3 linked regions of the Struthio camelus genome follow. The protein of the gene in region 1 binds, or shares a complex with, the protein of each later gene. Links are inferred from orthologs where the notes say so. Each region holds a gene or a part of one and is shown on either strand. Other genes may lie near its edges. The genes, in order: VDAC1, PPIF and SPG7.

The links.
Region 2: VDAC1 (region 1) and PPIF share a complex: the UniProt entries of both Homo sapiens proteins name them as parts of the mitochondrial permeability transition pore complex. The link is inferred for Struthio camelus from reciprocal best matches to the Homo sapiens genes VDAC1 and PPIF.
Region 3: VDAC1 (region 1) and SPG7 share a complex: the UniProt entries of both Homo sapiens proteins name them as parts of the mitochondrial permeability transition pore complex. The link is inferred for Struthio camelus from reciprocal best matches to the Homo sapiens genes VDAC1 and SPG7.

The regions. Positions count from the first base shown.
Region 1 is NC_090954.1:3,702,052-3,705,797, reverse strand, and holds the start of VDAC1 (non-selective voltage-gated ion channel VDAC1), read left to right. Parts: upstream 1-1,276; 5' UTR 1,277-1,291; coding exon 1,292-1,375; intron 1,376-3,746. UniProt on the Homo sapiens protein: Non-selective voltage-gated ion channel that mediates the transport of anions and cations through the mitochondrion outer membrane and plasma membrane.
Region 2 is NC_090948.1:30,148,208-30,151,953, forward strand, and holds the start of PPIF (peptidyl-prolyl cis-trans isomerase F, mitochondrial), read left to right. Parts: upstream 1-1,498; 5' UTR 1,499-1,513; coding exon 1,514-1,705; intron 1,706-2,408; coding exon 2,409-2,439; intron 2,440-3,291; coding exon 3,292-3,380; intron 3,381-3,746. UniProt on the Homo sapiens protein: PPIase that catalyzes the cis-trans isomerization of proline imidic peptide bonds in oligopeptides and may therefore assist protein folding. Involved in regulation of the mitochondrial permeability transition pore (mPTP).
Region 3 is NC_090951.1:1,964,437-1,968,182, reverse strand, and holds the start of SPG7 (mitochondrial inner membrane m-AAA protease component paraplegin), read left to right. Parts: upstream 1-1,024; 5' UTR 1,025-1,101; coding exon 1,102-1,239; intron 1,240-2,183; coding exon 2,184-2,286; intron 2,287-3,636; coding exon 3,637-3,726; intron 3,727-3,746. UniProt on the Homo sapiens protein: Catalytic component of the m-AAA protease, a protease that plays a key role in proteostasis of inner mitochondrial membrane proteins, and which is essential for axonal and neuron development.

The sequences.
Region 1 (3,746 bases):
AAAAAGAGCGATCAAGCAAAAATTTGAATTTGAAGGATGAAGTCTCTTGTCACATCCATATAAATGCGGATCAGTGGGACAGCTAGTTTTTGTCTCGCCCCAGATGAGCTGGTGCCTGAAAGGAAGGCATGAGAAACCGAGTGCATGTGAGCTTGCGTGTGACTAGCGGCAGGCAAGTTTCAGCGCCAGTTCAAGGCGCAGGTTCGTGGCAGCACAGGAAGGGAAAGGGCACCGTGGTTTTCCCTGTGGTTGCAGCCAGTTCTTACATTTGCAAAGGACACCTCAGTGCTCTGCTGCCTATTAGACTAATTCTGAGTTAATATCCCAAAATTGTATTGTGGAGTAAAGACTTTGACATCTGTCTTGAAAATACTTAGAGTCAAATTCAGCCCTGCTGGAACTGCCTTGTATTCAATGCAGTTTTCTTCACTGGGGCTGGTTCTTGTGTCCTACAGCTCCAAAGAAAACTCCATGTTTTCTCCCTTTTACAGTTACAAATCAAGCGTTCATTTGGGTGGTGCTCATAACAACCACTTTGAGCTAAGTCCTTAGTTCAGGTTTTCTGAAAGTTGTTTTGCAGTATTTCAGTCATGATATGCACTACAGTACTTCCTACTCCTTCAGAACAAAATATTTTCCTTCCTGGAACGTGGGTATATGTTCTCCTTGGTCTGCTTTGTGCAGGAGTTGAGGTTATGTAGTCACTCTGAGATATTTGCGCTATTGGACAAGGATAAAATCAATGAAATCATTTCGCTCCTAATCTGAATTTATGTCCTGGGATTCCACCAGTGAAAAGCAAGGGCACTTGGCCATGTGGCTGTTCCTTGATCCTTTAAGAATTTGAATCCCTGTTAAGCATGCTTGTCTTCCAACCTGTGGTTGCACAGAATGTAATGAGTTTTGTTTTCCATCTGTTAAACAAGAGGCTTCTGAACATAGATTAGCTAGTGCAAACAGAAATAATTATTTTTGTTCCTTGATGGCAACAACAGTAAGGTTAACCACCACATACATATTTCATAGAGTGTTTTCCACGCTCAGCAATTTTAAATGCCTTGTTCCGTGTGCATTACATGATTTGCCTTACAAATAGCCTTACAATGGACATGGATTTAGCTGTCAATATGCTTCCTTAATTATAGTAATTGCAGAAGTGGAGATCTAGACATATCCCACTGTCCTATAACCACAGCCTAGACTGCTACAGTAGAGCAGCATGTCACAGCTGATTCATCTTACAAGCATGGTTGCCTCTCCCTGCTGATAGCCCGCTGCTAAGTAACGCCTTATGGCTGAGCACTGGGGACGGACTGCATTCTGCTGCACTTTGTACATCCGGACTCTGTGGATCAGTGGAGATATGCAAATATTGGTGAGAGCCTAATTTGGCTTTATGGGCTTTGATAAAGGAAAATTAGTCAGCCCCCTACCTCAAAAAAACCCAGCAGAACCCAAACCAAAAACATACAGTATTCAGTTTTCCAGAAAATACATTGATTTTTAAGAAGTAACTCAAAGTAACTGTTGATGAACTCAAAATACATCTGGTAGATTCTGAAATGCAGCCGATAGAAGGATGCATTATCTTTCAAAGCGATACTTATTTGCTTTTTTGATGTAAGGGTTTTTAACACTTTTATTTATTGATGATGCTAAGTGGAAATACCCATCAGAGCATTCTAATGAGACTGCGCTGCCCTGACTGGAAAGAAGCATTTCCTGAATACATACAGCCCCTGGTGGATCATCTCAAGATGTTCTGGGCTCTCTGTCCTCTCTTGAGTGCTCCCTTAGCTCTAACCCTAAGTTGGTATGATCTCCAACAGTGGCATTGTACTTTGTTTTTAGTGACCCTAATAAAAAGCAGAGGAATTACTTAGAAATAAATCTGTTAATGGTTTTTTTTTCTTCTTTTAAAGCCTATTTTTTTGTTTCCAGAACCCCATATATGACCAACTCTTAAAATGGTTTCTCCTGTAGAGAGTGATGCTTATAAACTTTACGTTCTGGCTTTCATGTTGGCACAAAACCAGAGACATTTAGGTCTTATATAAGCAGCTGAAACGGCTTTGGAATATGGAATACGTTGTGTTTTTATTTAACTACTTAACGGCTTAGGTATTTGGGGCTGCAACTTACTAATGAAATATAACTGGAAAAAATTACAGGACTCTGATGCCTCCGAGTACAGTCTCAGCAACTGAAGCTACATCATAGTATGCACCCTTGAATCCTACTTATATTTGTGTTCTAAGACGACTGTTTGCTTTGAGCCAACAGATCTGTTTTGCACCCTCTAGGATAGGGATTCTTCACTTATGCAATAGCGGGTATCGTGCTTTAACAGGCAACAGCTTCTTGAATGGAGTTGCCTGAGGCGTTAAGTGACTGCTGAAACTCCCTATCTGATAAACGTGGGGTGGTGTGCTTGAATGAAGAACTGAATCCAAGTCTACAGCCAGAGTAGATACTCTGAATACTGTGAGCACTCCCTCATGTTTGCAGACAGCTGGTTTGTTTGTGATTTAAAAGAATAGTTTTCTGCTAACGTTGAATAGTCTGGAATCAGGATTAGTAGGCAATTCTCAACAAAACATTTTCACTCGTATGTAATAAGCTTATTATTAATGCTCCATAACCAAAAAGTGTTTGCGAATGTAGAATTTTAGTGCAAAATCTGGTATTAAGAGAACCAGCTTTATGAGGATGATTTCTCCTTTGCTTTTTTATGAAATCTTGAACATGAAGAAAGAAGGTGTACACCACTTCGGATGGTTTGAATATGACTGGTTCCATAGAACAAATTACTGTACTTCAATAAGGAAGTAATTCGGTTTGTTTGTTCTTTCCTCTCAGGCTCATACTCTCCTCTGTATGCAATGAGAGTCTTGGTGGCTGAGAAAATGGGATGTGTTCTCCTTTCTTGCAGGAGGCCATTGAATTAAGAATGGTCAGAACCTGCTGAACGCGTGAATCTGAGGGCCTAAATAAGAGCGCAACATGAAGTTTGAGGAGGCTGCCCCTACTGGGCTCCAGTGTCTTTACCCTTGTGCTGAGACCTCGTTCCAGGTCTTGCACAGAGCTCTAATCTAGGTTTGATTGCTGAACAGGGGCAGCACCTACCCTCCTGACTAGCTGATTTCTAGATACTCACAACGTGGCATCCTTTCAGTCCTAATTTTTCTCAGTAAGCTCAGTTTTTCCCCTAGTTGATGAACAGGAAAAAAAAAAAAATCACTGACTAAGGAGAAATCTTAATGCATTAACAGCTGTACCAAAGTCAAAGAAAATTGAATGGTAGATGAAGAATGACTATTTGTTGCTTTTGCTAACGTGTTATCCAATTGCTGCTGTGAAGTAGGGGGAGATAGGTGTTACTGATGCTAGATGACTGTCCTGGGATTTCCAAAATTAAAGTTGGGTGACTTGGGGTCCAAATTCTTTGCAACAGGATACACAGATTAATTGCAAGTAACAGGAGAAATGCTTGCCAGAAATAGTTAACTAATCATTCATGCAGGTCTCCTGTTAAGGAAGCAAAAAATTAACTGTTTTGAAAGGCAGAAGAAGTTTCTTCTTTTTTATATTTATTCTGCAACCTGTTTCTCATCCTCAGTGGCAAATGCTTGTTAATCATTAACGCTGGCTAATGAAGGAAATCAAATCTCACTTTTCGCTATAGCTACTTTTTTCATATTATATTAAATTGATAGGTGGTGGATAGAAACCAGGCTGCCTGAAAC
Region 2 (3,746 bases), on another chromosome or scaffold:
CCCCAAATTTCAGAAGACAAATAAACCTTTCAGGCTTGTAGTTATCCCTGTTTTCTACTTTTAGGAAGTGACGCGATTGACAGCCTTTTGAAAATTCAGTGATGTCACTGATGAAGTCACTTTTAGCTGTTATTTTTTGAGAACAAGTAAGATTAAGCAGGATTGAAAGTTTGCTATTTCTCTTGTAGGGTGCTGTCCTCGTGTGACTCTGTCATGCTGTATTACTGAAAGCGTTGTATTATTCTAACCTCCATAAAGGTAATTTATAATACAAAGCACATGAAAATTACAGGTGTATAATTATTAGAATCACCCTTGATTTTCTTTTGTTTGAAGTTAAGAATCACTGTAGGAGCTATTTTCCCCACATTCAAGAGCTGTAAGTTTTAACAAGGATAGCCTGCAGTACTATAGATAAATGCTATCTTGTTCTGGTGATTTACTGCCTTAAAATAATCTGTATAAAACTATACATCCTTTTTAGAAATGTCAGTCTTCACAGAAACATTATTTCCATCCTGGAAACTGAAAGGGCAGAATAAGCAGGCAATGCCATATATGTGCAGAGTTGCACATATACGCTGCAGACTCAGTGCTCCTGTTGTGTGCCATTAAGGCAAGACTTGATCATAAATGAAAAGCATCAGGTGTTCTGGGTCCCTTTCGCTTTGGGTATAACGTGGCAGAAGACCGTGAACGTAGCACGCTTGCGTCAGTTTGTTGTGGAGGAGGGCAGAAATTTTTCTGCTTATTTTCAGTGAAAAACTTGGTCTTTGATACCAGCGGGCTCACAGTAATGATAAGACTCCTGGTTAAAGAAGTATTGATACACTGATGGCAGGCTGTGGTTCAGCTAGTAATGTGGAACTGCACTGTGGTTATTTAGATGAAATGAAATGAACGAAGACTGCAAAATAAAAACGATTCGGTTTTAAAGACAGAGAAAACGTTTATTGGCTTACAAAAGGAGTTGTCTCGCTCCCGGTACGCGAATGGGAGAGCTTTCTTCGACTTCACAAACCAGCACCAAGCCCACAGACAACCTGTGCAACTAAGAAAAGTAAAAAATTTGTACACGTTTTTATATACAGAACAAGGATGCTAACTGGAAGGGATTTCAAAATAACATCTGAAATACAACTACAGTATATACCGATCACTAAATACTTCCATCTAAATTACTAAGTTGTGATAAGTAAAAGTTTTTTGGGTTTTTTTTTTGGTTATTCAGACAAAACAGAAACGAAGTTTCTGTTTTGTTTTCCCCTCAGCACCCGCGCCCCCCGCGCCCCCCGCGGCTGCTCGGCGGCGGCCGCGCTCACCCGCCCGGGCGGTGGCGCCCGCTGCCGCGCGAGGCCGCGCAGCCCGGCCCGGCCGCCGCGTCGCGCTGCGCGCCGCCGCCGCTAGGGGCCGCGCCGGCCCCCGCCGGCGGGAGCCATAAAAGGCGGCGGTGGCGGCGGCGGCGGCAGTAGCGCGTGGTGGCTCTGCCCGTCCGTGCCCGCTCGGCTGTGCCATGCTGGCGCTCAGCGCCGCCCGCCGCCTCCTCCGCCCGCCCGCCGACCTGCCGCTGCCGGCGCTCGCCTGCGCGCGGGCGGCCGCGGCCCGCGGCTGCAGCTCGGGTGGCGGCGGCGGCGGCCGGGGGAACCCGCTGGTCTACCTGGACGTGGGCGCCGACAACCAGCCGCTGGGGCGCGTCGTGCTGGAGGTGCCGGGCCGGGCCGGAGCGCGGCGGCCGGGGCGGGGGGCGCGCGGCCGGGGCCGGCGGAGGGGGGGGGGGCGCGCGGCAAGGTCGAGGCGGGCGGGAGGCGGGGGCGGCGGTTGCCGGTGGCGGTTGGCGGTTGGGGCGGGGCGGCGGCGCGCGCCGAGGTGACCGTCGGCGGGGGGCGGGCCGTTGGGGAGCGCAGGCGCCGAAGCGTCTCGGCGGTTGGCGGCGGCGCCCGGGCGTTAATGGCGGGGCGCCGCCTGGCCGCAGGGCCCGCGCTGTTGCCCCTGTCCGTGGCGGCAGGGTCGCGAGGGCTGCCGGGTGCCTCGTCTGCCGGCGACGGCGGGGCGCGGCCCCGGGGCCGCCGGGTTTCGGCGGGTGGCCCTGCGCCGCCCAGGTGCGGGTCGCAGTGGGGGGCCCTCCGGTGGAGTCTGTGAAGTTGCTGTTACTGTGTTGTTCGACGCGGCTGTCGGAGTTTGCTGCGGTTAGTCTTCGTTAACTGGCCAAAAGTTGCCTTAGAGAGGCCGTCGTTAATTATTAGCCAAACACTTGGGAAATCGTGCAGTGTTTCTTCAAAGCCTGGGTGGCTTGTGATTTCGGGTAGCCCTCTTCAGAAAGAGGGTTTGGTTTCGCCGGCCTCAGGTGCAGTGTTTTGTCCATGTGTGTAAGCAAAAGCTGACTGACTGATTTTTCTTTCCCTGAGCAGCTGAAAGCTGATGTGGTTCCAAAGACAGCGGGTAAGGCAGCATCTCCAGGATCTCACACTGTAAGGTTGTGATTTGCAGGAAAAACATTCTGTTACCCTTTGGGAGCTACTTCCATGTTCCTTCCTCACTTGTTAAATAGAAAAATATGACCTAAATCTTGTCCAGAGCCGTGCTAGTGACGTTAGGGTTTCCTGTAGTTTTTTTCAGATAGCTTTACTTCATCGTTTGCCTGCAAGGACGGAACAGCCCATGTGTTGGGCTACCAGTGATGGGTAAATGTGTTTAGACGCCCTTTAGTTTTCATTAAAATCAAATCCCAAAACAAATAGGAAAGGGTAGACCAAAGGGATGGTGTCTCTTAGTCTGCTAGTAACATACACAGTTTTGTTTTTCTTGTCAGCAGTTGATCAGTGAACTTCAGTTACGAAGTTAGGTTTTTTGTTTTGGGTTGTTTTCCCTTCATGTGCTTCCTTCCTCATTGCCTTTAGTGGTCCTGAGAAATTCAGAGTTTGGTTTCAGTTCCTAGCAGATAAATATTCTAAGAGAAAAATATCATGTTTGCAGTTAATTTAGAGAGTGAAAGCTTAAAAGGCAGAAAATGACTGGTTTTTTTTAACTTAAGATATAGCAGCGAAATGAAAGGGAGAAGAGAGGGAGAAGGGTTGCATTTGTACCTCGTTCTGAGGCTAAACAGAAGTTTTGTTTCCAGAGCTTTAGGCCAAAGTTTTTTCAAAGATGAAAATAATTTAAAAAACAACAATGCCTTAAAGGTGTAATAAGCTTTTTAAAGAATATAAACTGAGGACCTAATTAACTTAATTGAGTTTGAGTATATCGAATGTAATGTGCAGCAACATACTATTTTATGCTTTGTTTTCACAGAAAATTTTAGAGCTCTTTGTACTGGTGAGAAAGGTTTTGGGTATAAAGGATCCACGTTTCACAGAGTGATTCCTTCGTTTATGTGCCAGGTAATGGATTTTTTTTGCTATGAAATGTGTATATTTATGTGTGTGTGTATACACACACATATATATTCTAGAACCTAGAAAATATATATATATATATAGACTAGTAGTAACATCTGCTCTAACCTTTGCTAATTACAGAATAAGGAAGTGATAACGTGGCTTCATTTCTGACCTTTTTGCTGTGGCTGTAGCATATCGCTTGTACAAGCAAATGCAAATTCTGTGGGAGTGGCTTTAAAAAAAAAAGGGCTTAAGACTCTGCTTTTTTTTTAAATAGCAATATACTTTATTATATCGGCAAATAGTCTTCCCTATATTGGCTTATTTGGCAAAGTGGCACTTGCTTAGGAGAAGCATATGTGCAGA
Region 3 (3,746 bases), on another chromosome or scaffold:
TGTTTTTCATCTGCGTTTGGAGCTAACTCATACCTAAGTGTGAGCTGTCAGAGGGGGAGTTTTCCCCAGTACCAGCTGCAAAGGGAGGGAGCTGGCCTCTTTCCTCTGCGTTGGATTATCTAACCTCCCAGAGGTTGTTTCTCTCTCTTCTCCTGGCTGTTACAACTACGTGGAACATGATGTAAAGAGTGAAAAAATCCCAGAGCGGGGCTAGTTGTGTACTCACGCTCACACCACCGGACTCAGCACCGCCCGCTCCCTCGGTGCCAGCTATCCCTGCTGGCAAGGCCACGCTTCTGGGGCCATGGCAGGTGGCCTCAACCTCAGCTGCTCTCCTGTGCCTGCAGTCATCTTCTTGCGCCTCCCAGGTGCTTGTTCCCCTCCTGCCTAAATCTATGCTGGGGGCCTGGCTAGGGCCGGGCCTAAGGACCTGCCTGCTCCAGGGGGGCTGGGCCTAGGGACCTGCCGGCCCTGGAGGCCTCGAGCAGGCAGAGGCCGGCCTGGCCAAGGCGAGGCGGTGCAGATCCTGTCCGATTCCTGGGTCAGGTCCTGGCCAAGGCTGGGCCGCGGGGGCCTGGCCAGACCGTGGCGCCTGACCAGGCCGGGCCGGGCCGGGCCGGGGCCTGGCCGGGACCGGGCCATGAGGCCTGCCTGCCGTGGGGGCCGCCTGCGGGAGCCGCCTGGCCCAGGCCGGGCCGGGGGTCGGGGCCGGGGTGGGAGCTGGGGGTCGGGGCCGGGGCCTAGCGCAGCCCGATCCGCGCCTGCGCCCCGCTGGCCGGCCGGGGAGGGGGGGGAGGGGCCCTCCGCGTTGCCGCGGCAACAGCGCGGGCCGGGCCCGGCAGGGGGCGGGGCCACGGGGCGCCCCGGGCCCCTCCCGGCCGTTAAACCGCGGCACCCGCCATCTTGAGCCATGGCAGCTCCGGCGGTGCCCGCCCGCTCTCAAGATGGCCGCTCGCGCTTCACCGAGCGTTTCCGCCCCCGCTGAGGCTGCCGGCGCGGCGGCGGGCTCGGTGGCCCCGGGCGCGGCCCGGCCCTGCCCTACCTTACCCTTCGCGGCCCGCTCGCCTCCTCCTTCCCCCCTCTCAGGAGGCCTCGCGGAGCATGGCGCTGCTGCGGCTGTTGCCGCTCCGGGCCCGCTGCTGCTGCTGGCGGCGGCGGCCCGGCGCGGCCTGGGCCTGGGCCCGGGCCCGCCCGCGGCCCGGCGGTGGCGGCCCCGACGGCGCGGGAGGCCTCCTGCAGGTAACGGCGGCGGTGGCGGCTCGGGGCGGAGCGGGCGGGGGGGGGGACGCCGCGGGTAGGGGTTATGGGCGCCGTTAGGGCTCTGCTGCCCGGCCCGGTGCCCGCCCCGGCGCTGCTGGGCCTCCCGGTGGCGCGGTTTGGCCGTGCCGAGGCGCCGCCGCAGGGCAGCAGGGAAAGGGGCTTGTTTGAATTCGGCCTCCGACAGGGTTTAGCACCGTCCTGTGTTTTTCCCCAGCGAGCGAAGAGGTGTTGGCGGGCCACGGCGGAAAACAACTGTGACACGGCTCTGTGACACGAGCCAGGCTTCAGCCGCTGTGGGTGTTCGCCTGCTGCCAGAGCTCTGTGCTCAATTTAAGCTGGTATCAACTGTTCTGGAAAGAACTGATCCCCAGAGGTTGCCCTCCTGGGCTGAACGGGATAAAAAAGAGTGAGGCTTGTGTTCGCAGCAGGCCGTAGTTCCTGTCAGGTCTGAGGTTGTGAAACCGCCTTTAAACGCAAGCGTAGGCTGTGGGATTAATGCTGAATTACCAGGAGGAATAGCTGTGTTATCCTTATTGCCATGCAGAAGGCTTACAAGGCCTAAAGATTTCAAAGTCCTTCAGTTCTGTTGTGGGAGTACCCTTGCGTTTTGCTAGTCATAAGAAGGCGAAGCTCGTTGCTCTTTGGAAAGAATTAGCTTCTATCGTGTTTTTAGGCTGCAGTGTTTGAGTACGTGTTTATATTTATGCATGTGCTATCCCAAAATTGGGTTATAAACAATATCCTCAAAGTCGCATGGGAAGTTCACAGCACAAACAAGAATAATATTCATGTCTCCCAGCCGCTGCTGCTAAGACTTATCCATAATTCTTTAGAAATCTTGGCCTCATGGAGTACAGAATCAGCAAGCAGTCGCAGTACTCTTCCAATAGTTGTCTCTTTTTACTTTCTCCTCTCTTCCTCAGAGCCTTCCGTCACAAACGCTTTCCCCCACATTTCAAGGTTTCAGTGGAGTCCTAGTGAAACAACACATAATTCAAGATCCAGTCAGGCTTTGGAAACTCTTAGGTGAGTCCCTAAAAGCAACTATACTGGTGGGGAGGAAAAAAAGGTCTTGTTTAGTAAGAGTGTTGACTTTTCCTTACTTTCACTGCCTGTATTCCTGAAACTGAAATAAAGCTGTTTTGCTCTTGGCTTAGGGAGCAGTGTCATCACTTACAAGGCTTCTAAGTTTTTGTTTGGTGACAGGGTTGAACAGTGGCACCTTTCCCCAAGGACCTCGATTTGATAAGTGCTCACTTGAGTCATTTAGATGGAAAAGCTATTTTAAAAACTGCAGACTCTTCAGGAGAATTTTTATGTGCCTCATTAGCAAAGCTTAAAAAGAAAATATCCTCACCTTTGGCAGGAGTCGCATCATATGAGTTCATTCCTGAAGGCATTGCATTGGAACTTGGGACAAGTTAAATTGTATGATATAAAATATCCTTATTCTAAGAGTAGAAGCCCCAACACGTACAACAGAAGTAGTTATTCTTCTCCCTGCCGTCTTCATACTGGGAAAACGGGCTTGCTGATGCCTTTGAGATTTGAACAAAAGTTGTTGCTGCCATTCTGGCCAGTGTGGACCTGGTGAGCTTGGGCTGCCTTATCTTGAAGAGTTCAAAAAAAAAAAAATTTTTTTTCTCCTTTTAAAATTAGTTAGGAATCTGCACAGTCTTTGAAATGGTAGAGAACCCTCTAGAAGAAGTAACAGTTGACAAGCAGCCCGATTCCTGGACTTGCACCCCTTTCTGCTGCCTTTGTGAAAGACCATGGGAAATGGAAGCTGCAGTCTTTAAGTCAGTTGTTTTGCTTGTGAGCTTTTTTCATTTCCCTGCCAAAAAAAGCCTCTGCTGATTGTCTTTTTTAGCAGCAACTGAGAGTTTTGCTGATTGTATCTTTACTTTCTTGGCTTTTATTAGAGTGTCCTAATGACATTACTGAGGAATCCTGCGTTCAGCTCTAGCACATACATTTCCTTTAATAAACACTTACAATTCCTAGTATGAGGCTGTTGTTAACTGATCATACCAGCGTTAACTTTGGTTGTGCTTTGGGAAATGTGTGAACGTTCCAGCACTGGAACGTTCTCCAAATGATTTTCTTTGCCACGTTAATGTCTGAACAAAACTATATTTTGATGAGGTTGTCAAAAAATATATAAGAAGATTGAAGGAGCCTGTCCCTCCTGTTACTGCCTCTGGTGAGGCTGTCCCATTGCCTTGGCATACAGAAGAGGCTGTGCGCCTGGGTGGGTGTGGAACTTAGCTTTCTGTGCATTTGGAGCTCATATGTATTTCTTCTGTCCTTTGTCCCTTTTTCTCGCTTTGACCTGAGGTTTTCTGTCAGTAACTGCTTAACTCTGCTTGCCTGCAGGTGGCACTTATTATTTTACTACTTCAAGCTCTCAGGGGAGTAACCATAAGAATGGAGGATTCAAAAAGAAATCTCCAAAGGAGGATGAGGGTATGTATGTGCCAAAAGGA